Linked DNA regions of Schizosaccharomyces pombe. The gene in region 1 interacts genetically with each later gene. Each region holds a gene or a part of one and is shown in the gene's direction. Other genes may lie near its edges. The genes, in order: ade7, pma1 and met26.

The links.
Region 2: mutations in ade7 (region 1) and pma1 impair growth when combined (synthetic growth defect), as found in Schizosaccharomyces pombe (one study listed by BioGRID).
Region 3: of ade7 (region 1) and met26, changing one suppresses a phenotype caused by changing the other (phenotypic suppression), as found in Schizosaccharomyces pombe (one study listed by BioGRID).

The regions. Positions count from the first base shown.
Region 1 is NC_003423.3:1,153,020-1,159,926, forward strand, and holds ade7 (phosphoribosylaminoimidazolesuccinocarboxamide synthase), read left to right. Parts: upstream 1-3,799; 5' UTR 3,800-4,098; coding exon 4,099-4,998; 3' UTR 4,999-5,405; downstream 5,406-6,907. Other genes in the region: SPOM_SPBC409.08 (spermine family transporter), read left to right, coding at 1-721; mis13 (MIS12/MIND complex Mis13/Dsn1), read right to left, coding at 1,593-2,582; protein meu18, read left to right, coding at 5,575-6,907.
Region 2 is NC_003424.3:3,870,227-3,880,241, reverse strand, and holds pma1 (P3-type proton ATPase Pma1), read left to right. Parts: upstream 1-4,130; 5' UTR 4,131-5,562; coding exon 5,563-8,322; 3' UTR 8,323-8,600; downstream 8,601-10,015. Other genes in the region: SPOM_SPAC1071.09C (putative DNAJC9 family protein), read left to right, coding at 8,815-9,582. UniProt on the Schizosaccharomyces pombe protein: The plasma membrane ATPase of plants and fungi is a hydrogen ion pump. The proton gradient it generates drives the active transport of nutrients by H(+)-symport. The resulting external acidification and/or internal alkinization may mediate growth responses.
Region 3 is NC_003424.3:1,474,929-1,483,219, forward strand, and holds met26 (homocysteine methyltransferase Met26), read left to right. Parts: upstream 1-3,469; 5' UTR 3,470-3,698; coding exon 3,699-5,993; 3' UTR 5,994-6,244; downstream 6,245-8,291. Other genes in the region: SPOM_SPAC9.07C (GTPase Rbg1), read right to left, coding at 1-121, 172-971, 1,020-1,179; SPOM_SPAC9.08C (steroid reductase), read right to left, coding at 2,286-3,134; plasma membrane thiamine/proton high affinity transmembrane transporter Thi9, read left to right, coding at 7,906-8,291. UniProt on the Schizosaccharomyces pombe protein: Catalyzes the transfer of a methyl group from 5-methyltetrahydrofolate to homocysteine resulting in methionine formation.

The DNA.
Region 1 (6,907 bases):
AGTGTTTACCGCCCAAGAGAAACAAATGCTTTCCTTCAAAGAAATCGTTCAAGTTAACCTTACGCGTCCCCTTACCCTTCTACTTACCGAACCCATTCTTGTTTGTATTTCTGGTTATATTGCCTTGATTTATGCCCTGTTGTATGGTTATTTCTTTGCATATCCCAACGTGTTTGTCAAGGGTAAGGGTTACAACGAGGGTATTACTGGCTTGATGTTTATTCCCATTTTGGTAGGTGTCGTCGGTGCTTTGAGTACTACTCCCTTCCTTGAAAAACAATATATGGCCAAGTTAGATGCAAACAATGGTAAGTCTGTTCCTGAATGGCGTTTGGTCGGTATGTGTATCGCTTCTCCTTTCATTCCTACTGGTCTTTTGATTTTTGCATGGACAAGTTTCCCCAGACTTATTTGGATTGGTCCTGCTTTTAGTGGTGCTCCTTTCGGTTATGGTATGGTGTTGTTTTACTTTAGTGCCAACAATTATCTTATCGATGTATATCAAAATTACTGTGCGTCAGCATTGGCTGCTAAAACAATGGTTCGTTCCGCAGGTGGTGCCGCTTTCCCTCTTTTCATTGATTATATGATGGATGGTATGACTCGTCAATGGGCCTTCTTTTTGTTGGGTATGGTTGCCGTTGCCGCTATTCCCATTCCTTTCACCTTTTACTTGTTTGGTGATAAGATTCGGGCTAGATCCAAGGCCGCTATTGTTTAAAACAGCTTGTTTTGTGTCTTTTTTTTCGTTATGCATTTGGTTTGCGTTGTGTACATGCAAGGAATTTAAAGCCTCTATTATTTCAGTTGGCTATCCCACTTTTTTAAAAGATATGCCAACAATCTTGGCTTCGTAAAGCGGTCAGAATTTGCTGCTTTGCTTTTTTCGCCTCAGGGATCATTCCATAAGTGAACTTAGATATGTTCCTTAAGCATGCTTCCACCTATCCATTGCTAAAATTTTTTAAAATTCTTTAGCTCATGTCCCCACAGTTTCAGTTTGGGTTTGGGATTTCTTGAATTTGTCTCCAATATTGGTGCACCGTTGCGTTTGAGAAGCTGCCTTAATATTTAAATAATGTCCAAGCTTCATAGAAATCGTGGTTTTTTTTTAATTTCATGTATGCGGTTTTGTGTTTGAAAGTTTTACGTTACTATTATGACGGAATTTACCACGTGTATTCTGGTTATCATAAAGCTATTGTTAATTACACGTTACATGTTTCGAAACCTGCGACGATGTCTGCTCTCGCTTTTTAAAATTTAATTATAGAATATAGACTTTAGAGATAAAGCTATTTATTTCTCAAATATTTCAAATTAATTAACTATGAAACCTTTGATAAATTCTAAATATTGGGTGAATAGTAGCAGTTATGTATCGTACATTGAGTGTAGATAGTAATGTGAGTGCGCGCTACTACTATAGGAGTTCCTTTGAAATAACGTATAACATGAATTTTCAAACACAGTCCAGCTGGTTTGCACACCTTCATTATTAGTTAATTAGCAGCAATGGCACGCAAAAAGACATAAAATTAACGTAAAAATAAGTAAAAATTTGGGCATAACAGTATCAGATTAATCCAATTTTAAACTGATTCGTTTGAGGAAGATTTATAGGAAGCTTCTGATAAAAGCCTTAATAAATTCATAGTATCCACATATTTGGAGAAGGACAACAAACTTTTACGATGGGCTATGAAATCCTGGGCAGCAAGGCGACCATATGATGATCGGACTTCAGGTCCAGCGTTAGTCAAAGAATGCAAGGTATGAATATTTTCAGCAAGCATGTCCAGGAGAGTGTGGAATTTTGGTTTCAGCTTACTTATATTAGGAAGTTCTGGTGCATCATCTGGGGGTAATGGAGAGTCCTGTTTATCAAGGTCTTGTTTAGAATCTATGGATTCTACAGCTTTTTTAAAAGATAAAATTGATTTATCTGAACTGACGGAATTAGCAGCAACAGCCCGCCATGCAGCTTCTTCATTATGGAGTTGGGTAAGCTTTGCCGACAGTTCGTCCACTAGCTGAGCATTTTTGAGATTTTGAGGATGAGGTTTATTAGGAATTACAGCATCAGGTGGTCTTTGATACCAACTAACACTAACTTTATTAGCCAATAATTCGTTAAGAACTTCTTGAACTATTGATCTAGCAATAGCTGCCTCACTGGCTTCCTCCGTTTCACCGTATTTTTTTCTTTGCTCTTCTAAGGCCTTTGAAGAAGCCCAAAGGAGAAGTTGTTTGATACGTAAAGGTTCGGATAAGTCTTTGGATATATGGCGATAGTATTCATGCGATGGAACATCTGCATGTGGTAAAGCTTCAAATCCAGTACCAATGCTACTAGCACGCTTACCCCGTTGGTCAAGACTACTCCTTCTTCCTTTACCCTTGCGAAGTTCTTTGTTTCGCTTCACAATTGGTGTATCAGACACGGGTAGCTCAACTAACCCATCGGTTTGGGAGGTATCTGGATCATCCTCCACAGATGATTTCCTTCTTTTAGAACCAGCTTTTTCTTTACCCTTCCTAACGAATACAAATCCTTCCTGCTCTTCAGGCTTTCGTTTCATAATGGATGCTGGTTAGGGTCAAGTCGAGTCAGGATTGCAAAGACTACCTTACTCATTGTTTACACTAGGTAACCTAACAAAGTATAGCGAGCGCGTTATAAGTCGGCCTTACAATTGAGCATTGAAAATTCATCAAAGCAAAGTATATTCATGTAGAGAATAAATAAAAAAATAAATAATGATTAAATTCTTTTTTACTGTTAAGTATTCCTTTCTTTTTGGAGATACACTTGTTACAACTTGGTATAAAATATTTGTTTAATTGCTAGATTATCTTCGAACTTGCAAAAACAAAAATATATATCCTTTTTTCTGCTGTAAAATAATAAGAATAATAATTTTAACATAATCCATTGAATGGTTGGTTAATTCCCCTTATAAATTCATAAGACCTCTTCTTATACTATATCAAGTTTACTGTTTATGTAATATATATATATATATATATATATAATTGAGGAATGCGACATGAAATGCTAAGCTGAAAAGTTATGCAAATTACAAAATGTGGATATTATTACCATTAAAACTGTTTACAGTTTTTGACAAATAGTCAAGATGTCCATGAGCTGCCAGGATTGAGCTTGTACTTTATCATAATTGTTGAAAAATATAGCGACGATAAATAAGATGAATAATCAAATATAAGTATAATGAAAAATATTCGAGTATTCTATATGTACAAAATCTAAATTGTAGTAATTTTCAGACTTAGCTGGTTATTGTTGATTTTAAATCGCTGCATATTATTTACAGAAAGTACCCAATTTTAGATTACATGGCTTTGCAGACAAGCCAGAACTTTAAGGATCCAGTATAGTTTTAAGAATTAAAAGTTTGAATTATCCTACTCTTAAAACACTTCCTATATAAAGTTGTTTCAAAATATTCTGCAGTCAAAAAGGCAACAGTAGTCGGTGTTTAAAGCTCTTTTTAACTTAAGTGAAGTAATAGTTTTCTTATTATAATTATTAATTTATTTGTTTTATTTATTTTAATTAAACATGGAATTTATAACCACAGCATGTCCTGTACAACTTACTTTTCGAGCACTTACTTAGGTTGCCATCATCCTCAAATACGAATTTATTTCGGAATTTTTAAATTCTTTATAATTGAAAAGAATCTTTACTGATTATCTGTTCTTAATCTGTCTCAGTGTATTGCCAAGATCTACGACGATCTGTCTCATCTCTCTTGTATCTTTCCTTTCTACTACATCGAAAGTTAGAGTTAACTGGATTCATTGAAACCAGGGTTTTTTGGAGCCAATTCTAAGTGGTATGTTATGTAATAGTATCCTTTTTGATAATTGTAATTGCTTTTGTTTCTCTGAAATTTTTAATCGATGTTCTATGTTATACTATATAGACCTCATACAGAAGAAGCATATTAAAACGAAATGAAAAGAGATCACACGGATTTTCTTTAAATACTTTGTTATTTTTATACCAAAAGCTAATTGTCTTCAAGTGGAATAGTTTAAACCTTCATTTCTACATCAAGTTCATTTCAAATGGCATTATTAAAAACTTCGTTGGATGCTCCATTCACTAAAATTGCTACCGGCAAAGTCAGAGACCTGTATGAGTGTGTAGAATTTCCCGATGATCTTTTGTTCGTAGCAACAGACAGAATAAGCGCCTATGATTTTATCATGGAGAACGGCATCCCTGAGAAGGGAAAGGTTTTGACAAAAATTTCAGAATTTTGGTTTGATGTTTTAAAACCTCATGTCCAAACTCATTTGATTACTTCTAGGTGGGAAGAATTACCTCCTGTTATCACGAAGCATGAAGAGTTAAAGGATAGATCCATGCTCGTTAAGAAATACAAGATTCTTCCTATCGAAGCTATTGTTCGTGGCTATATCACTGGAAGTGCTTGGAAGGAATATCAAAAGCAAGGGACTGTTCATGGCCTTAACGTACCTACAGGAATGAAAGAGGCAGAGGCCTTCCCTGAACCCCTTTTCACCCCCAGCACCAAAGCTGCCGAAGGCCATGATGAAAACATTCATCCTGATGAAGTCAGTAAAATTGTTGGACCTGAATTAGCCAAACAAGTTGCTGAGACTTCTGTAAAGCTTTACAAAATAGCCCGTGATGTTGCATTAAAGAAGGGAATCATCATTGCCGATACGAAATTTGAATTTGGGGTTGATGAAACCACAAATAAGATTGTGCTTGTTGATGAGGTATTGACACCCGATTCATCCCGTTTCTGGCTTGCATCTGATTATACTGTTGGAAAATCTCCCGATAGTTTCGATAAGCAATATCTTCGAAACTGGTTGACCGCTAATAACCTTGCCAATAAACCCAACGTTTCTTTGCCCGAAGATGTCGTTGAAGCTACTCGTAGAAAGTATGTTGAAGCTTATGAAATGATAACTGGAAAGAAGTGGTCTTACTAGGGGGTGATTTTGGCTTTTTGCTCTTTCTTACCATTATCTGTTTTTTTTAGTAATCTGCAGTTTCTCTTCTTTTTGGAATTCTTCTCAAATTGTAACAAACCCTTGGAAAAAAAATCGATTTCTTTTGTAAAGTAAATCGACTTTAAATGCTATTGCGTCTTTTAGTAAATCATTTTTCATTTTTTGAACCTGTTAACGGTGTTTTGGCGATTTTATTAAAGAAGTAGAATCTAAGTTTTACTTATAAAAATTCAAGTGTTGGTATCAAAATGATAGGTATCGGTCGTTGTTTATTAGAAAAGGCTTAGTGTTGATTTTTATCAACTTGATTGAATAAGAATTCTGCAAGTCTAGCGTATTCATATATGAGATGATTATTGAGGAAACATGCTACATTTTGTAATAATTATTGAATACCTTTCAAAAAATCCAATCATTTATTGCAAATGTTTATTTTTATTCTCAATTCTTCCTTTTCTTTGAAAATAAACAAACAGTCAAAACAAACAAACTTGCGACTATATATACCATTACGCTCTTCCCCACAATCGATCACTAAATTTTTAAGAAATCAAGATGATTTACATAAACTTTTATGAATTATATAATATAAAGAATATCCGGCCACTTATACCAAGCTTTCATGTTTGTCTTCTAATTATGTTCTTGATTTTATATAGCCAAGAAATACTTAGTTTTTTCTTTATGTGTTCTAAGTTTTCGATGAATTCTCTAAAATTCTGTGTGCTATTCTCTTTCAAAACAGTTTACAGTCTGCTCAAGTTAATAAAGACGCTAATTAGAAAGCTGCTTTACTGTTTTCATTATGCGTTGGATTTATTTGCAGATGAATACAAAGTTACAGCCAACGATAAACACTATGATTATAGGCTAAAATCCCATCGTATAAAAGATAAAATAACCACAAAATGCAAAGGTACGACCAAGTATTTTAATTCACGCCATTTCGAGATTAAGAATGCTGTTGAAAACCTTCCATCATTCAGCAGCAATCTAACTACTATTGGAAACAACCTAAGAATTTTTTGGAAAAATGGAAAAATCCGTTGCATCAAATTGACATGCACACCGGACGCAGAAATAGTAAATTTTACATCAAATCCAAATCGTTATAGGTTTTATGAAACGAATATGCAAGAACTCATTAGAAAAACAATATGCGAAAAATCCGATAAAGCGATAGAAAAAACGTTTTTATGCGCTCAACTCTTCAAAACATTTTGCGAGGATGGCGTACTGCAAACCTTTCAGCCTGGATTTATTCAACTAGACATCGCATCAAATTTACAAGAAATAAAGAAAGGCACTAAAGAATATAGCCTTAAAAGTCTCGAAATGACCACCACAAAAGAAAGCAATGAGACATTATGTTCCAATGACTCCAAACATAGAATCGCACGTTTAAAAAATGAAGATAATACCCAGAAACCTATTAGCAAAAAGAGGAAGTCTAAAAAAGCTTCCCATAAATATCTTAGCTCAAGAACTGCTCCCAATGTTGACTTTGGCAATTTCGCAAAGGAAAGGCACAGAGAAAATGATGTTTCAGAGCTTTACTCCAAGACTAAAAGGACTTCAAAAATTAGGGAACTATACAAAGAAATTGGTTATGACAAGAATGAGTTTATTCATGAATTGCGCGAAAATGAGGGTCCATCCGTTCTCTACGATTCTGGATTAGATCAAAATGGCACGAATTATGATGACGCTTTTGCTGCCCCGGAAGCCATAAGCATTGAAAAGTATGTTAGCATAAACGAAGAAGATCCCAAAAGTCCTAAAAAGGAAACAAGTTACCAAGTACAGGAAAAACTTTCACAATTTTTTCAAGAAGAGATGATTCATCTGCTAGAAATGGGTGAAGCCTGCACATCTCGAGAGTCGCAAA
Region 2 (10,015 bases), on another chromosome or scaffold:
GAAGGCAGAAGTGAAGGATTTACCTATGCTTGGGTATTAGAAGAGAATGAAAAAAATTTGAGATTTGCCTTCCATCCGGTACACTGGAGGGTTGAGAAGTGCAGTACGGTTCAGTTAAGCGATATAGAAATGAGTGTACTCCAAATCGTTATTCGAAATCAATTTTGTTTAAGGTAGATTGGATATTGGAATGCACATGGCATGGACTCAAGAAAATCCGATGGAGGGCAGTGAAACAGGCAAAAGGTTAATTAAAGGAGATATAGATATAGCTTGAGTAGTAAGAGCATGCAATTTGGAGAAGAAGAAATGAGAGAGAAAACGTATGTCAAACAGCAAAAAGGCAGTAGATGAATGAATGGATGGATGAATTACCATACAATGTTTTTACTCTGACGTTCCTTTCCGTTTAGCATGCAACCTTGCGGAGATGGAAAAAGACGAGTAGATGAAGAAGAATAAGAGGCGATGAGATTTGGTTTGATGACTTGGGAGTGTGACGAAAAGTGCGAATGCCGATTAATGGCTGGAAATTGACAAGTCAGGTGGAGGCAGAATAATGATGATGATGGATGAGGTGGTTGGGTATTGAAAACAAGGTAAGCAAGCGTAAGCCAGCGGCAATGGGGTAAAGTTGGAGAAAAATGCAAAGAATGATGTTGGAAATTGGAGTCGGGCGGGAAGAATGGGATGAGGTGGATGGATGATGGATGAGATGGAATAGGATGAGAGGAGATGGGATTACGTTGGGGGGTCAAACCTTTTTTTTTTTTTTTAATTTTTATTGTACTTTTTTTTTTTTTTGTGCAAACGTAAATGGAAAATGAGCGACGGTGTTTATGACATTGAACGCATGTATACTACGTCTTTTGTTTACATGGCAAGGGAAGAAGGAAAAGGAAAAGGAAACTAACACCAACAAAGGCAGATGGATGGCATAGCGGCAGAATGATTATTTCGTGGCCTTGATGCTGGAGCTAGCGGATGAAAGTGGATTTCCGAGCGGTCAGAAATTTTTCCCATTCCAAATAACACAGGATACGGTGGAGTGTGGAAAAAAGATAGAGAGCGAGAGTAAGTAGAGAGGGTGAAAAATAGAGGATAAGAAAGAGGGCAGCTAGAAAAGTGCTTTAATAATAAGGATGAGAAGCATATAATTAATTGGCAATTAAGTAGATTGGAAAGAAAATGTAGAGTGGAATTTTGCGCATGTTTGTAATAACGATATTATTGGAAGTAAAGAATGTATAGTATAGTATGGTATGGTATGGCTGGCTGTGATTGCGGGATGTTGTTGCTATGAGAAACAATGTGTACCATTCATTCAAAACCTTGCTTGCTTTTAAAATACGTAATAAGATTTGCAGACAAAAGTAATCTTGTGCATGGTTGATTATGGTGGTGGAAAAAAAAGGATTGAGCAAACCAAGTATCTGTCAACTTTAACTGCCGATAGAGATCGTCTATTTCGATGCCTTTCCTTGTTTAGAAAGAGGAATGAGAGATGAAAAGATGGAATGTGAAAAAGGAATTATCAATGCAGGATGAAAATGAAAAAAAATAAATAAAATAAAATAAAATAAATTGGTGAGAAATGGTTTCTGAAATAACATGTTGCATTCATAGTTATGTGGGTTGAGAGCAGGGATTGGGTGCAGCTGCTAAAGTTGGATGGATGGATGAATTTCGGTAGTGTTTTTGCCTACCCGAATGAATCACAGTGGTTTGCAAGGGCCACGGCAATGCGCGATGCACAAGGAGAGAAAACAAGGGTGCTGGGTTGTAGGTAAAGAGCAAAGTATGTTTGAAAAAGAAATGGATCGGTTCTTTGTTTACAACAACAACCGAGGAATCTATGAATGTAAGCAAAAATTGAAGTTGATGCATGGATGACGAAAGGTGACATTTACAAGAAACCTATTTTTTTTTTTTTTTAATGTGCTTAAGAAAAAAAAAGGTGCTAACGAACCGAGTGGTGGAGAGCCATAAAGAAAGGAGAGGAAAGAGAGAGAAAAAGGGAATAGAGGAAATGCATGTAAATAAAAGAAATCGAATGAAAATTTATAAAATATTAAATTGAATTTATAGAAATAATTTGAAATGATGAAAATCGTATTGAATAATAAGAGAATTGTGAACTGTTGAAACATGGGTATTAACATTTATTGTGGTTTTGATTGTAGTATTTGTAAAATATTAAAATAAATTTCATTATGAATGAAATTTATGATTTTTTTAATATTCGTTTTTATTTTATTTTATTTTATTTTACTTTATTTTTTTCTTCTTTTATTTTTTTCAGTTTTCGTTTTATTCTTCTCATTTACCCTGAATTGATTGTTTTTTTATTTTTTTTGTGTATTTCTTTTTTCACTTCTATGTTCGGTTGGGTAGCATAAAAAATATACTATTTACGAATATTTCCTTTTATTTTTACTCGGTTCCTTCATCATATTCAATATATTTTCTATTAATTTTTTAATTAATTTGAATATATTTTATTCGTTTCTTTTATTCAATTTTATTCGCTTTTAATCATTTCTTTTATTCACTTTTATTCATTTCTTTCTTACACTCACTCACCTTACTTCGGCTCCCTCTTCATCTACCGGAGCGTTCGTTTTTTTTTTTTAAATTTTAATATTTTCTTTTCTTTTCGTGCGGCCTCTCTTTTTTCTTTCGTCGGCTTCCTTGTTTACAACTCCTATTCAAATTTTATACGGCCCGCTCAAACTCACGCTCACTGTCACTAACATTCCTCACATATGCTCGGCTTTCTTTTGTGCGTTGTTGTGAAGATGTCTCTGTGAAAATTTCCTTCCTTCTTAACTAAATATTCATTTTATTACATTTTTTTTTTTCATTTCCCCTATTTTGCTTGCCTTGTTTGTTCGCTTCCATCCACCCACCCACCTGACCGACCGACCCATCCCATCCCATCCACCTATCCATCCATCCTATGTGTCCTTGTCTGCTTCTGTGTCTTCGGTTCCCTTGTTTCTTGTTTTTTCATGTCGTTTGTGTCTCCTATTTTTACACTGCTACTCGTTTTTACCTACCACCTTGTTACTAGCCAGGCCATCCGTCAGTCAACACTCACCTGCCTCTACCATCGTTCCAGATGTTCCGAACCAACCCTTCCGAGCAGGCTGGACGAAGTTCCGTTTACTGCACCGCAGCGACGCACTGTAAAGGGAGGACAGTGAAGAGGACGCAAGTGTAAAGGTTAGTCAAGGTATAGGATTAGCGAGGAGAGGATAGTAGAGAGAAGAGAGAAGAGAGGAGAGAGGAGAGAGGAGAGAGAGGAGAGCAGACAGGAACAGACAGGGAGATGGATAAAGAGGTAAACAAAAGGAGAAAGGAGTTAGAATGAGTGTTGGAAATGAGTGTTAGAAAGTGAATTTTAAAGAGTGAATCTTAGTTTAGAAGATGTTAGATGGATGTGTAAATGTTAATTGCTTAGAAAATAAATGAATAAATGAACCAATTTCTCAACTTCACTAAATGAAATACATAAAACAATCATTCCATTAATACAAAACTCTATAATATATATCCATCGCAATGTCTTTCTTTACCTATTCCTTTCCTCTTTCCTTCTCTTCCTTTCCTCTCTACCATTATACTCCTCTCCCTACTGCAACCTCTTTTCTCTTATATTCTCCCTTTTTTGAATTATTTTCGACCTCACTCTCTTCTTCTTTTTCCTCTTTAACATTATTCCTCCTCTACTACCCTCTTCTTCCTTTCCCCATCCCTCTCCGTCATCATCATCCCGTCGCCCTCCTCTTCCTCTCTCTCTCTCTCATTCGTCTCTTGCCGGTCCATCCTTGATTTCGTACGACGTGCCTGGCCCTTTCCATCTCCCGAACAAATGACATCATACGACGTCTCTTGGTTATCGGCTATCGTCGTCGTGACTTGTCTATTGACCAATCATGCTTCTTTATGACTCCCTATCACAGGATTCTAGACGGGTCTTCCATTCTTAGCGATCGAATCACAACACTGCCGACCTCCGTTTCCTCTTCGTTCCGAACGTCTCGTTTTGCCTTCTTTCCTTTTTTTTCTCCCAGCCCAAATTTTTTGTATAAGTAGGCTCGGCTTCCCACCGCTTGCAAGTTCCTTTCAAGCCCGCGTTTTTGGAATTCCTAACAAAGTTCAGTGTGCTTCTCGTTAGCTACTGTTCGATCAAAGAACTCGAAAACATAGAAGACTGTGTGTTGTTCGCTTAGTATAGTTTACATACATATCTCTTTTGTTCTTACCTTCAACATAAGAAAAAAAAATAACCTATCTTTCTTTCATCCTTTGTCGATAAAGAAGATACTTTTTCTCCCGGTACGGTAGATTGATAGATCATATTTGCTTTGCTTGTTTGATCCAGGAAAATTTATTTACCCCTTTTACCTCGTTATTTTTGGTTACTTGTTCTCTTCCGTCCTTTTCGAAAGATCTAGTCACCATCAATAATTTTACCTTTATATATATATAGATTCTTTTTATCTCATATATATATAGACATACATATACTTTTTCCCAACTCAACAAACAAATCTTTTCATTTGTCTGTCATCCCTTCCTCCCACCTTTTTCTTACCTGTTGTGGTTGTTATTGTCAAATTTCAATTCAACAATTCCCCTTCGATTGATTCTTTTTCTTTCCTTGCTTCCTACCTTTTTTGGTTTGTAACGAAAAGAAAAAATTATCTAATCCCTCCAACCTTATTGTCAATTTTATAAGTTTTCGGAGTCTTTGTTGTGTTTTTCCAAAAAACATCTTCCCTTTCATCTCCATTCCCTTTTTATATCCAACCACGATTTTTTATTAAACTCGTCGTGTTTGTGAGATCTTCCCTTTCCTTATCGGTCATCCACAAACTCTGATTGATATATTTTATTCTTTTTCTCTTATAATTTCCACACATTTTCAGCTTTGTCCTGAAATTGTCAAACGATAGTCGTTTTTTATCACTCCAAACTAGGGCTTCGTGTTTGATTACATGCTTCTCGTTTGAATTTTAATAGATCAAAGCTACTTTCATTTTTGTGTGTGCGTTTACTTGTTCTTTTTTGTTTTCTCTCCCTCTTGTGCAGATTACATTAAATAGTTTCTTATCTTTTCATTTGATAAACTATTTTTCTCACCCGTTTCTCGCACATATTCTCTTTCTTTGACCCAGACTTTCGCTTCTCGACATAATTTCAAAGCGTATTTCTTCTCTAGAACATACGTTATTTAATCTCGAAAGTGATAATTTATTTTCTGAGCCTTTTAAAGACTTTATATTTAGAAGATCCTTTTTAAATTTCTTTTGTTTTTCTTCGGCCTCGTCTCAGTATAATTTAATTCGTCTACGATCCATTCCTTCTAGACGTCTTTTATTGCTATCAATTCGGGCTTTTTTGTTTCATTTTAGATTTTTATATCAGTATTCCCCTCAATACCCCTTTTCTATTGTCGGTAATACCTACCCCATCTCGTTTATTCTTTTGAATACATTTACACTTGTTTTTCTTTAGTTTTTTCGTTATCTATCTTTCTCATTACTTTCGTTAACTATGGCTGATAACGCTGGTGAATACCATGACGCTGAAAAGCATGCTCCCGAGCAACAAGCTCCCCCTCCTCAACAACCCGCTCATGCAGCTGCTCCCGCTCAAGACGATGAGCCTGATGATGACATTGACGCTTTGATTGAGGAACTTTTCTCTGAAGATGTTCAAGAAGAACAAGAGGACAATGATGATGCCCCCGCTGCCGGTGAGGCTAAGGCTGTCCCCGAAGAGCTTCTTCAAACTGACATGAACACTGGTTTAACCATGTCTGAAGTAGAAGAGCGCCGTAAGAAGTACGGTCTCAATCAAATGAAGGAAGAACTCGAAAACCCCTTCCTCAAATTTATCATGTTTTTCGTTGGTCCTATTCAATTCGTTATGGAAATGGCTGCCGCTTTAGCTGCCGGTCTTCGTGATTGGGTCGATTTTGGTGTCATTTGCGCTCTTCTTATGCTTAACGCTGTTGTCGGTTTCGTTCAGGAATACCAAGCTGGTTCTATTGTCGACGAGTTGAAAAAATCTCTTGCTCTTAAGGCTGTTGTCATCCGTGAAGGTCAAGTTCACGAACTTGAGGCTAATGAAGTCGTTCCTGGTGATATCCTCAAATTGGATGAAGGTACCATTATTTGTGCTGATGGCCGTGTTGTTACTCCCGATGTCCATCTTCAAGTCGATCAATCTGCTATTACTGGTGAATCTCTTGCTGTTGACAAGCACTATGGTGACCCCACTTTCGCTTCTTCTGGTGTTAAGCGTGGTGAAGGTTTAATGGTTGTTACTGCTACTGGTGACTCTACTTTCGTCGGTCGTGCTGCTTCTTTGGTTAATGCCGCTGCTGGTGGTACTGGTCACTTTACCGAAGTTCTTAACGGTATTGGTACCATTCTTTTGGTTCTTGTCTTGCTCACTTTGTTCTGTATCTACACTGCTGCCTTCTATCGTTCCGTTCGTCTTGCTCGTCTTTTGGAATACACTCTTGCTATTACCATTATTGGTGTCCCTGTCGGTTTGCCCGCTGTCGTTACCACCACTATGGCTGTCGGTGCTGCTTACTTGGCTGAGAAGCAAGCTATTGTCCAAAAACTTTCTGCTATTGAATCCCTTGCTGGTGTCGAAGTTCTTTGCTCTGACAAGACTGGTACCCTTACCAAGAACAAGTTGTCTCTTGGTGAGCCCTTCACTGTCTCTGGTGTTTCCGGTGATGACTTGGTTTTGACTGCTTGTTTGGCTGCTTCCCGTAAGCGTAAGGGTTTGGATGCCATTGATAAGGCTTTCTTGAAGGCTTTGAAGAACTACCCTGGTCCCAGATCTATGCTTACCAAGTACAAAGTTATTGAATTCCAACCTTTCGATCCCGTTTCCAAGAAGGTTACTGCCTACGTTCAAGCTCCTGATGGAACCCGTATTACTTGTGTCAAGGGTGCTCCCCTTTGGGTTTTGAAGACCGTCGAGGAAGATCATCCTATCCCCGAAGACGTTTTATCTGCATACAAGGACAAGGTCGGTGATTTGGCTTCTCGTGGTTATCGTTCTTTGGGTGTTGCTCGTAAGATTGAGGGTCAACATTGGGAAATTATGGGTATTATGCCTTGTTCCGATCCTCCTCGTCATGATACTGCTCGTACTATTTCTGAAGCCAAGCGTTTGGGTCTCCGCGTTAAAATGCTTACTGGTGATGCCGTCGATATTGCTAAGGAAACTGCTCGTCAGTTGGGTATGGGTACTAACATTTACAATGCTGAACGTCTTGGTCTTACTGGTGGTGGTAACATGCCCGGTTCTGAGGTTTATGACTTCGTCGAAGCTGCTGATGGTTTCGGTGAGGTGTTCCCCCAACACAAGTATGCTGTCGTCGATATTCTTCAACAACGTGGTTATTTGGTCGCTATGACTGGTGACGGTGTCAATGACGCTCCTTCATTGAAGAAGGCTGATACTGGTATTGCTGTCGAGGGTGCAACTGATGCTGCCCGTTCTGCCGCTGATATTGTTTTCTTGGCTCCTGGTCTTTCTGCTATTATTGATGCCCTTAAAACATCTCGTCAAATTTTCCATCGTATGTACTCATATGTCGTTTACCGTATCGCTCTTTCTCTTCACTTGGAAATTTTCTTGGGTCTCTGGCTTATCATTCGTAACCAATTGTTGAACTTGGAATTGGTTGTTTTCATTGCCATTTTCGCTGATGTTGCTACTTTGGCTATTGCTTACGATAACGCTCCTTACTCTATGAAACCCGTCAAGTGGAACCTTCCTCGTCTGTGGGGTCTTTCCACCGTCATTGGTATTGTTTTGGCTATCGGTACCTGGATTACCAACACTACTATGATTGCTCAAGGTCAAAACCGTGGTATCGTTCAAAACTTCGGTGTTCAAGATGAAGTTCTTTTCCTCGAAATCTCTCTTACTGAGAATTGGTTGATTTTCGTTACTCGTTGCAACGGTCCCTTCTGGTCTTCTATTCCATCTTGGCAATTGTCTGGTGCTGTGTTGGCCGTCGATATTCTTGCTACTATGTTCTGTATCTTCGGTTGGTTCAAGGGTGGTCATCAAACTTCTATTGTTGCCGTTCTCCGTATCTGGATGTACTCCTTCGGTATTTTCTGTATCATGGCCGGAACTTACTATATCTTGTCTGAATCTGCTGGATTCGACCGTATGATGAACGGTAAGCCCAAGGAATCTAGAAACCAGCGTTCTATTGAGGACCTTGTTGTCGCTTTGCAACGTACTTCTACTCGCCATGAGAAGGGTGATGCTTAATTGTTGACATTGCGGCATAATTAATGTTTTTTATTAAACGTTTTATTTCATCCCTTAATATACATAGAAAGTTTACCTTAATTTTTGAATACACGAGTTTCCTGCCGGCTTGTCTTTTGGACTGATTTTTATAGTGTCTGAAAATATTGAATAGTCATTTGAGTAAAAGTTGTTTCTTTTGAATTTTTGCTTCTTTTTGCGTTTCATTAAATAGTGTATATACATATATATCTTATATATACATTTAGTAAAAATATTTTTATTTTGTGGTACCAATTTGGTAAGTCTTGTAATATTTTGTAAACTGTTTCAATTTCTTTTCTTCACCGTTTGTATGTATATGTCTTAAGCGTTTTCTGTAAATTTAGAAAATTCGTTTTTATTAAGCATATTCTAGTATAAAACGTTCGAATGGCTGGTTTACTCAATCTATGCTATATTAAAGATGAATGTCAGTTTTCCCTTCTTCCATTAACCTATAGTTTCATAAAAATGGACATCGATCCTTATAGCGTTTTGGGTGTAGAAAAAGATGCATCAGACGAACTAATTCGACGAGCTTACCGAAAGAAGGCACTTCAGCATCATCCTGATCGAATACACGATGAGGAAAAGAAAGTAGAAGCAAGGATTGAATTTGATAAAGTTGCAATTGCTTATGGTGTACTAAGTGATAAAAAAAGAAGGAAACATTACGATAAAACAGGACAATTACGTGAAACCGATGCTGATATTGATTTCGACTGGAAAGAGTGGCTTGACGAATTATACCAAGGTGTTGTTTCCGGTGAGACACTTAACGAATTCAAAGCATCCTATCAATATTCTGAAGAGGAAAAATGTGATGTTTTGAAAGCTTATGAAAAAGGAAAAGGATCTATGGATGTAATTCTTGAAGAAGTTATGTGCTGTGAAATTTCTGATGAGGACCGTTTTCGGCAAGTTATAAACAATGCTATTAAGGATGGGAAAATTTCAAAGTACAAGAGATTTGCTCCCAACGAAAAAAAACGTAAACGGAGAGCCAAGGCTGCAGAACGCGAAGCTCAGGAAGCGGAGGAATTGTCTATGGAACTTGGTTTAGACGAGAATTTGAAGAAGCGGAGAAAAGCTGGTGCAAGTGATGAAGAAGCTTTGAGTGCGCTCATTCGATCGCGACAGAAAAGTAGGATGTATAATCTGATTTCGAATCTGGAAAGCAAATACTCAAAATCGTCCACCAAGCCGAAGAAATCAAAAAAATCACGATCCAAGGAATAATTGCTTAGGAAATAGTTACATGTCTTAATTGTTTAAAAAATTTTTTTATTAGAAGTTATCGTGAGCTACGAGTATGACATTTTTTATTTTTTGAGGTAATTTATTCCGCATTTCTGGGTCGACGAATTGTCTGATACTATTGAATTAAATACATTGCTACTATTCCATAGCTATGATAGTGAAACCTATGTATTGTTATTAGTCATTCACTGAGAGCGACAATTATTACTCATGTATTCTTAGGGTGGAAATTTGATGTTACATATAGGCAGCTCGACTATCAGTATTTTCATTCTTTTTCCAAACAAGGCCATATTTTATGATGACTTGATGCCGGCGTTTCCTTGACCTCGAAAAAATGAATGGGGCAACTTTACGACTGTATGTCCCAAGGTTGACATGTAATAAAGGATGTACTGCCAAAATTTGAATG
Region 3 (8,291 bases), on another chromosome or scaffold:
CTACATCCTCATCCAACAGTACATGAGATAAACCAACACGCATGCCAGGATAAGGAACGCTTTTTCCCCAAACATAAGCATGTTTAAACTGGGATTTGATACTTGAATGAATATTGTTACACTAAAGAAGTTAGCAACACGAAGATCGGCAGAAGCAATTCGAAAACTTACAAAATCCTCGACAGTAGAATGGCCAGTACGAAGGATAACAGGTTCGCTGTAATCAGGTTCAAGACCTCTAGGGCGTGTATAGACTCTAACCAAATTCAAATAGTCCCACATCGTTTCTTTAAGTTCGTCAATGTTCCAACCCCTGTTACCACAAATGGGTACGGCGTTAGGAATACGATCAATCAAATCAAGTTCTTCAATAGAAATTGAATCAATTTTATTTAACACGTAAAGTGCCGGGATATAAACGCGATTTCCTTCCAAGACATCAATCAAATCATCAATGGTGGCATCACAACGAAAAGCAATGTCAGCAGAGTTAACACGATATTCGCTGCAAACAGCACGAATTTCGTCCAAATCAATATGAGTCAAGGGGACAGTATTGGTGATATTGATACCACCACGTTCTTTCTTTTTGAATACAATGTTGGGGGGTTCCTTATTTAATCTTATACCAAATCCTTCCAATTCCTCTTCAATAATACGCTTATGAGACATTGGTTTCAATACATCCAAAACAATAAATATAAGGTTGCAAGTACGTGCAACAGTAATAACTTGTTTACCACGACCACGACCATCTTTGGCACCCTCGATAATACCAGGCAAATCCAAAATTTGAATTTTTGCACCATTGTATTGCAAAACACCCGGAACCGTTGTTAAAGTTGTAAATTCATATGCAGCGGCTTCACTTCTCGTTCCTGTAAGCTGAGTCATGAGTGTACTTTTACCGACGGAGGGAAATCCAATGAAACCTACAGTACCAATACCGGTACGAGCAACATCGAAACCAACTAAGAAAGATTAGTACTCCAAACAAAAATTTGACGTTCAGTACATACGCCCTCCACCACCTCCTCCACCGGTAGGGGTGATCAATTCACGTTTCAATTTTGCAAGCTTGGCCTTTAACATTCCCAAGTGCTTAGCCGTAGCTTTATTTTTTTGGGTTTTGGCCATTTCATCTTCAACTTCTTTTATTTTTTGCGCCGTAGTCGCCATTTTGTTTTTTTATTATATATGAAAATGCTATGAAAATGGTGAAAAGAAAATTCTATAACTAAGTACGTATAAGATCTTTTGCATTATTGAGTGCTAAGCAACCCTCTTTATTTTATATTAGTGTATTAAACCACATTACAACAGCCAAACTATTATTAAGATACCAGGTAGAATATCACGTTGGATCTCGATATTTGTTCCTTGTTGTAAGTAAATAAAAAAATATGTGAAATATTGAATCCAGTTATTCAATAGAATTTCATAAATAAATCTTTTTTCTTTTGCGTGTCTTTTTTTATGCGTTAGATCAATATAAAATATGTATGTATATAAAAAGTTGATAATTTTGTTTTGTTTTTCTTACACAATTTTAATGCAAATATTAAATAAATAAGATTGCAAAAAAGTAGTTGCTGATTGCGCAAAAGCTTGGATTAACAGTATTTTTTGATAAATAAAAAAAGAAATAAATAAATTTAGTATGTTCTAAGTCAACGGCAAATGAATTATTATTCAGGGGTTGAAGATAATGTCAGTTAACAAGGTTAATTATCGGGTCAGGGTAATAATTAAAAATTAAATAAATAAAAAATATCTGCGGCTGTTGCGTATAAACAGTAGACGGATGAGCAATTATCCCCAATAGCCTAAATACAAAATATAAGAACACATAGTAGAAACTACAAAAACATTTTTACCGGCAACAATAACCTCGTTGATATAGTGGTATTGTTGATAACTCAAAAAGCCCCAGCGTTTTGTGCGCGAAAATTATATTAATATTAACGAAAGCGAATATGCTGAATATGTATAAATCTGCAGAAGATACATATGTATCATTAATTTTTCTATGTACAATATTGTAAGCAACATAACTGATCGGAACAGGAAAAGTAGATGAGAAGAGGGAAACGGTTAGGATAGCGTGAAATTCAAGATCAATGCGAAAGAAATAAATTATAAGGGTTAAATAAGGCATAAATTAAGGAAGTCATCGAAACAAAACCTAAGAAAAAAACACAAGACAGCAGGGGAAAACAGTCATAGAGACCTAAGGGCCTCCAAGAACACCAACTTATTACGAAAGGTAAAACGAGGCAGTTGTTCTACATTAAGAATGGGATGATGGCACGACGGTTTGCTGGATACTTCGGAAACTTTTTACAGTACCATTGATGGGCTTTTAATGCTCTTGGAAGCATCAACAGAATCTCTGACAGGAAGAACCACCAAAAAGGTTCGGCAGAAGGACCGGCTGCCAAGTAGCATCCAAACCATTCAATCCATTCGCAAAAGTAATTGGGACACGAAACATACTGGAAAAGCCCTCCATAGGGAATTCGATAATACGAATTCTCAGATTGTACGGTGTCAAGATTATCGGGATCCTTTTTTTTATTAGATGATCTTCTTAGGTCGTATAAGATGTTGTCGTGATACATATTTCCCAACCAACCCATTAACCAAAGAAACATACCAATGTATCGACGAATGATAGACACTGGATGATGCTGGACGCTAGCTTGAACCAAGTACAGACCTATTGACATACCGTTCAAAAAGTTAAACAATACCGCAGAAACAAACACCGTCCAATGCATGGGTGAAACTTGTGGTGCCATCAAAAGAGGACTCACTAGCGCTCGGTTGGCGTAATGAACTAAAAACATACCAGCAAGTACCTTTCGACAGCTATCCAGATAATCTCGGTTCGACCCATCTCCAAGAGAGGGCAGCGTCGACTCGAAGTGTCGATTGTTACGAATTGCATAAAGGAACGTCAGTGGTGCTACCAGCTCCATCAATACCCATCCCACTCTACCCGATATGTATCCTTTGCTGAATAATTTGCTTTGCTTGGCTAATTTGCCATGCGGCGCATTTACAAACAGAGTGCATGGGAACACTCCGACAACGAATATTTTCAACAGTTTCAGGTAGTCTGAATAAAACATGTTGAAAAAAAAAAAAAAGCGATTTCTTTACCTAGAAGCACACAATTCTTCTCGTCAACTTGAGGCAGACTTACAATAATTTTCCAAATTCTTTCTAAATTGGAAACGAAAAATTGCACAATTTCAAGGTGCAGAAGTCGCTAAAAATTTGATAAAATCTTATAACAAAATCTACTCACTTTATCACGAGATCTCTCAGCGATATTATGCTCCAATTAACGTACCTATCGGGAAATAAAAGTGACTGGTTTTTTCGTTATGTTGGGATGGGGAGGTGGTGTGAAAATTTCTGAGTATATATAGTAAAGGCCCCCAAGACAGTTAGTCTTTTCTTCATAACACAACGCCTCTGTGGTAAAAGAAATCTCTTCGTTCCCTCAGGAAGAAATTTGTTTTCCCACTAAATCTATTTGTATATTTATATATATTCATATACAAACATTTCACATTACTGTACTGTATTCCCTAAGCATACAGAATAATATTGTACTTTTGAACTTTTCAAACGTACATTAGATTATATCCAACCGTCCTAATTTGCATATTCCGACAAACTATTTGAAAATGGTTAAATCTGCTGTTTTGGGGTTCCCTCGTATCGGTAAGAACCGTGAGTTGAAGAAGGCCACCGAGGCTTACTGGTCTGGAAAGACCAGCGCCGAGGAATTGCTTGCTACTGCCAAGCAATTGCGTTTGGAGCACTGGAAGCTTCAAAAGGCCCAAGGTGTTGACATTATCCCTTCCAATGATTTCTCATTGTATGATCAAATCATGGATCACTCTTTCTCTTTCAATGTTATCCCCCCCAGATACCGCCTCTCCGGTTTGTCTTCTTTGGATACTTACTTTGCCATGGGCCGTGGTATGCAACGTGCTGCTACTGCCGATAAGGCTGCCGTTGATGTCCCCGCCGGTGAGATGGTCAAGTGGTTTGACAGCAACTACCATTTCTTGCGTCCCGAGGTTTCTGAGGAGACTGACTTCAAGTTGAGCTCTACTAAGGCTCTCGACGAGTTCCTTGAGGCTAAGGAAGCTGGTATCATCACTCGCCCTGTTCTTGTTGGTCCCGTTACCTACTTGTTCATTGCTAAGGCCGCCAAGGGTTCTAGCATTAAGCCTATTGAACTCTTGCCCAAGCTTTTACCCGTTTATGTTGAGCTTATCAAGAAGCTTACTGAGGCTGGTGCAGAGTACATCCAAATTGATGAGCCTATCCTTACTCTTGACTTGCCCCAAGAGATCCTTGCTAGCTACAAGGAAGCTTATGAGACTCTTGGTAAGATCGGTAAGCTCATTTTGACCACCTACTTCGGCTCTCTTCAAAGCAATGCCGATGTTTTGAAGGGTCTCCCTATTGCTGGTGTCCACGTTGATGTCGTTCGTGCTCCTGAGAACTTGGACCGTGCTCTTGCCGTTCTCGGTGAGAACCAAATCATCTCTGTTGGTGTCGTTTCCGGAAGAAACATCTGGAAGACTGATTTCCAAAAGGCCACTGCCATCATTGAGAAGGCTATTAGCGCTGTCGGCAGTGAGCGTGTGCAAGTTGCTTCTTCCTCCAGCATTCTTCACATTCCTCACTCCCTTTCTGGCGAAGACCAAATTAATCCTGAAATTAAGCGTTGGTTCGCCTTTGCTGTTGAAAAGTGTGCTGAATTAGCTATTCTTACTAAGGCTGCTAATGACGGCCCTGCCTCCGTTCGTGCTGAACTCGAGGCCAACGCTGCTGACTGCAAAGCTCGTGCTGAGTCTCCCATCACCAATGTTGAGGCCGTTCGTGAACGTCAAAGCAAGGTTACTCCCCAAATGCATGAACGTAAGAGTCCCTTTGAGACCCGTTATGCCAAGCAACAAGCTTCCCTTAAGCTTCCTCTTTTCCCTACCACCACTATTGGCTCTTTTCCTCAAACCAAGGAAATTCGTGTAACCAGAAACAGATTCGCTAAGGGTCTCATTTCTCAAGAGGAATATGATGCCTTCATCCGTAAGGAGATTTCTGATGTTGTCAAATTCCAAGAGGAAGTTGGTCTTGACGTTCTGGTTCACGGTGAACCCGAGCGTAACGATATGGTTCAATACTTTGGTGAAAGAATGGAGGGCTTTGTCTTTACTGTCAACGGTTGGGTCCAATCTTATGGTTCCCGTTGTGTCCGTCCTCCTATCATTGTCGGTGATGTTTATCGTCCCGCCCCTATGACCGTTAAGGAGTCTCAATATGCTCAATCCATTACTTCTAAGCCTATGAAGGGTATGTTGACTGCTCCCATCACTATTCTTAGATGGTCTTTCCCTCGTGACGATGTTCATGACTCTGTCCAAGCTCAACAAATTGCTCTTGGTCTCAGAGATGAGGTCCTTGATCTTGAAAAGGCTGGTATTAAAGTCATTCAATGTGATGAGCCTGCCTTACGTGAAGGTCTTCCTCTTCGTCGTGCCGAGTGGGATGAGTATCTCAAATGGGCTATCGATGCTTTCCGTTTGGCTACTGCTGCTGTTCAAGATGACACTCAAATTCACTCCCATTTCTGTTATTCTGACTTCAATGACATTTTCGATGCCATTCAACGTTTGGATGCTGACGTTGTTTCCATTGAGAACTCCAAGTCTGACATGAAGTTGTTGAATGTTCTTAGCCGCTATACCTCTTGCATCGGTCCCGGTCTTTTCGATATCCACTCTCCTCGTGTTCCTCCTGTTTCCGAGTTCAAGGAGCGTATTGATGCTATTGTCAAGCATGTTCCTAAGGATCATCTCTGGCTCAACCCTGACTGTGGTTTGAAGACCCGTGGATGGCCTGAGACTACTGCTGACTTGAAGAACATGATTGCCGCTGCTCGTGAAGCTCGTGAGCAATACGCTTAAGTCACTTATTTTGAAGAAAAAGGACAATTTTTTTCCTTTATTTTCCATGATAATATTTAAAAAGGGGTTGTTAACCTTCAACATGGTTAACCGGTAATGAAACGAATGTTTGAAATGAAAATGTTTCTGAGGCTGCATAGCTGTTTTCTCATCAACTGAGGGTAACAAGTTGATATATTTTGCTATGTGATGGCGTTTTTGTTAATATTAGAATCTAATGAAAATACTTATAAATGGGTTTTCAGGTATTATTCGATGAATGTTTTGTGTATAACTGAATACAGTACGTTTGAATCTTAAGTAAGGATGTAGTCGACATGTAGGCGTGCTCTTATAACAGAGGTATCAAGTTTTTGGAATTTGTTGTAAAGTAGTTAAAGTAAATACTTGAAAGAATATGGAAAAGTGGGGTGAAATTGATTTTGCTGGATTTGCACAAGTGGTGATGGTAAACGTTACGAAAGTGTGTATCAAACATGCGATATTTCTATTTTGGTAGTAAGGACTTTTAAGGAAACATTTTGTGCTTTTTCTTCAAAAAAGTGGGCACTTAAATACTGGTGCCATTTATGAATTTGAATGTGATGTTTTCTACTGACACTTAAGTTTTCCTACATTAAGAGGATAGAAAAAGGAGCTGAGATCTCAAACGCTTTAAATAGTGAGAACTTGAAAATTGATTTAGTACTAGTTTTCTTGACATCCATAATCTTTTAAAGTTAGCATAAGATCACAACATTTTGTGTTCATGTAAACGTCTTCTTTTACTTAAATGGGATATCCACAAACCCGCACATGCTAGAAATAAATTGACTAAATGTTTTACATAAAACGTGGTGCCACGTGATGACAAATGTACATTTAACACAAGGAACTAGGTTGCACTGACTCAGTCTCCCTGTATCACCAGTATCCGACATAAATTGTCGCCTACTTGCATTCCACCTAAACTTTTTATCTTTTTCCACATTGTGATGGTACTCCAAAATTGCAAATCACAGAACGGCGTACCGGTAATGGATACCTGCTGCCCTATATGAAACCAAAGCTGCCCTTGTAGAATTCGAGATAGCTTACGCTGTTGCAGATTCAGTTCAATCAAGTAAATTATTAAAAAGAGAAATAATTATTTGTATTATAAGGTTATTAATATATATTGGATTAACAGCCTATGTATTCACCTAATGTACATATACGATAGTTAAATTGTTGACTATTTTCGCTAAGCACCGAGCTTAAAATGATGCTAAAATTTCCTCATTCGCCTTAGGTTGATTTGGCATATAAAAGTATTTCTCACCCATTAAGTGCCTAAATCGAGCTAAATTTCCATCGTCCACGATAATTTGAGCTCTTCTGATTTAACAAACACCCGTTTTATGTCAGATTGCCTTTTTCTGCCACCAACGTGTGAGACACATTTTTATTCATCAACCGGGTTCAAGCACCCGGGAACACCGGTTATATAATAACAAAATTTCGAGTCTGATTTTTCTTAAAACTTTTGCAAATTACTTTTCTTTTAATTATTTGAGAAGCTTGTTAGCGATATCTCAATCTTTGCTTTTAAAAAAAAACCAGTGTTGGAACAGTACAGTATTTCGTAAAGTGGCTGTTATAATTGACCTCACTGAATTTTAAAAAAAAATCGGTTACGCATAATCTTTGACAGATTTTGTTAAAAAGACGATAAGTTTCCTTTCTCGTCCTTTTGAAGAGGTTCATTCTTTTTTTTTTTTTTTAAAAATAAAGGCACATTTATTTACTAAATACTTATCGCCTTTAAGTGGGCTCTTTTGTTATAATCCAGCAAGAAGTTCAATCTATTTATTTATAAGGTTTTTTTATGAACGATTGAAAATTTCTTTTTCTTTCTGACTTTTTCATTTGCTATTATTACAATTGCTTCGCCATGCCTTCTTCACAAATAAGCCATCAAGATCCAGAGCTTGGACAAACCTCCTCAGGCTCTTCCAGTATCAAGGAGAAAGCAGAACCTCAGCTCTATGCTGGTCCCATCGACCCTGCTAGAAGGCCCGATGTCTTTCAAGAAGGATTTGAAGATGTTTCTGTCACAGACGACGATAATGATAATGAGTTATTACGGAAAATGGGCTATCAACCTGTGCTTCATCGTTCTTTTGAATTCTTTGAGAGTTTCGCTGCCAGTTTTGCTTCCTTAGATGTCGTTAGTGGTGTTCGCTTGACCTTTAGTTGGGGTATTTCATTTGGTGGTCCTGCTGCATATTGGTCGGCTATGTTGGTAACTGGATTTTGTTCAATCGTTACTGCCGCATG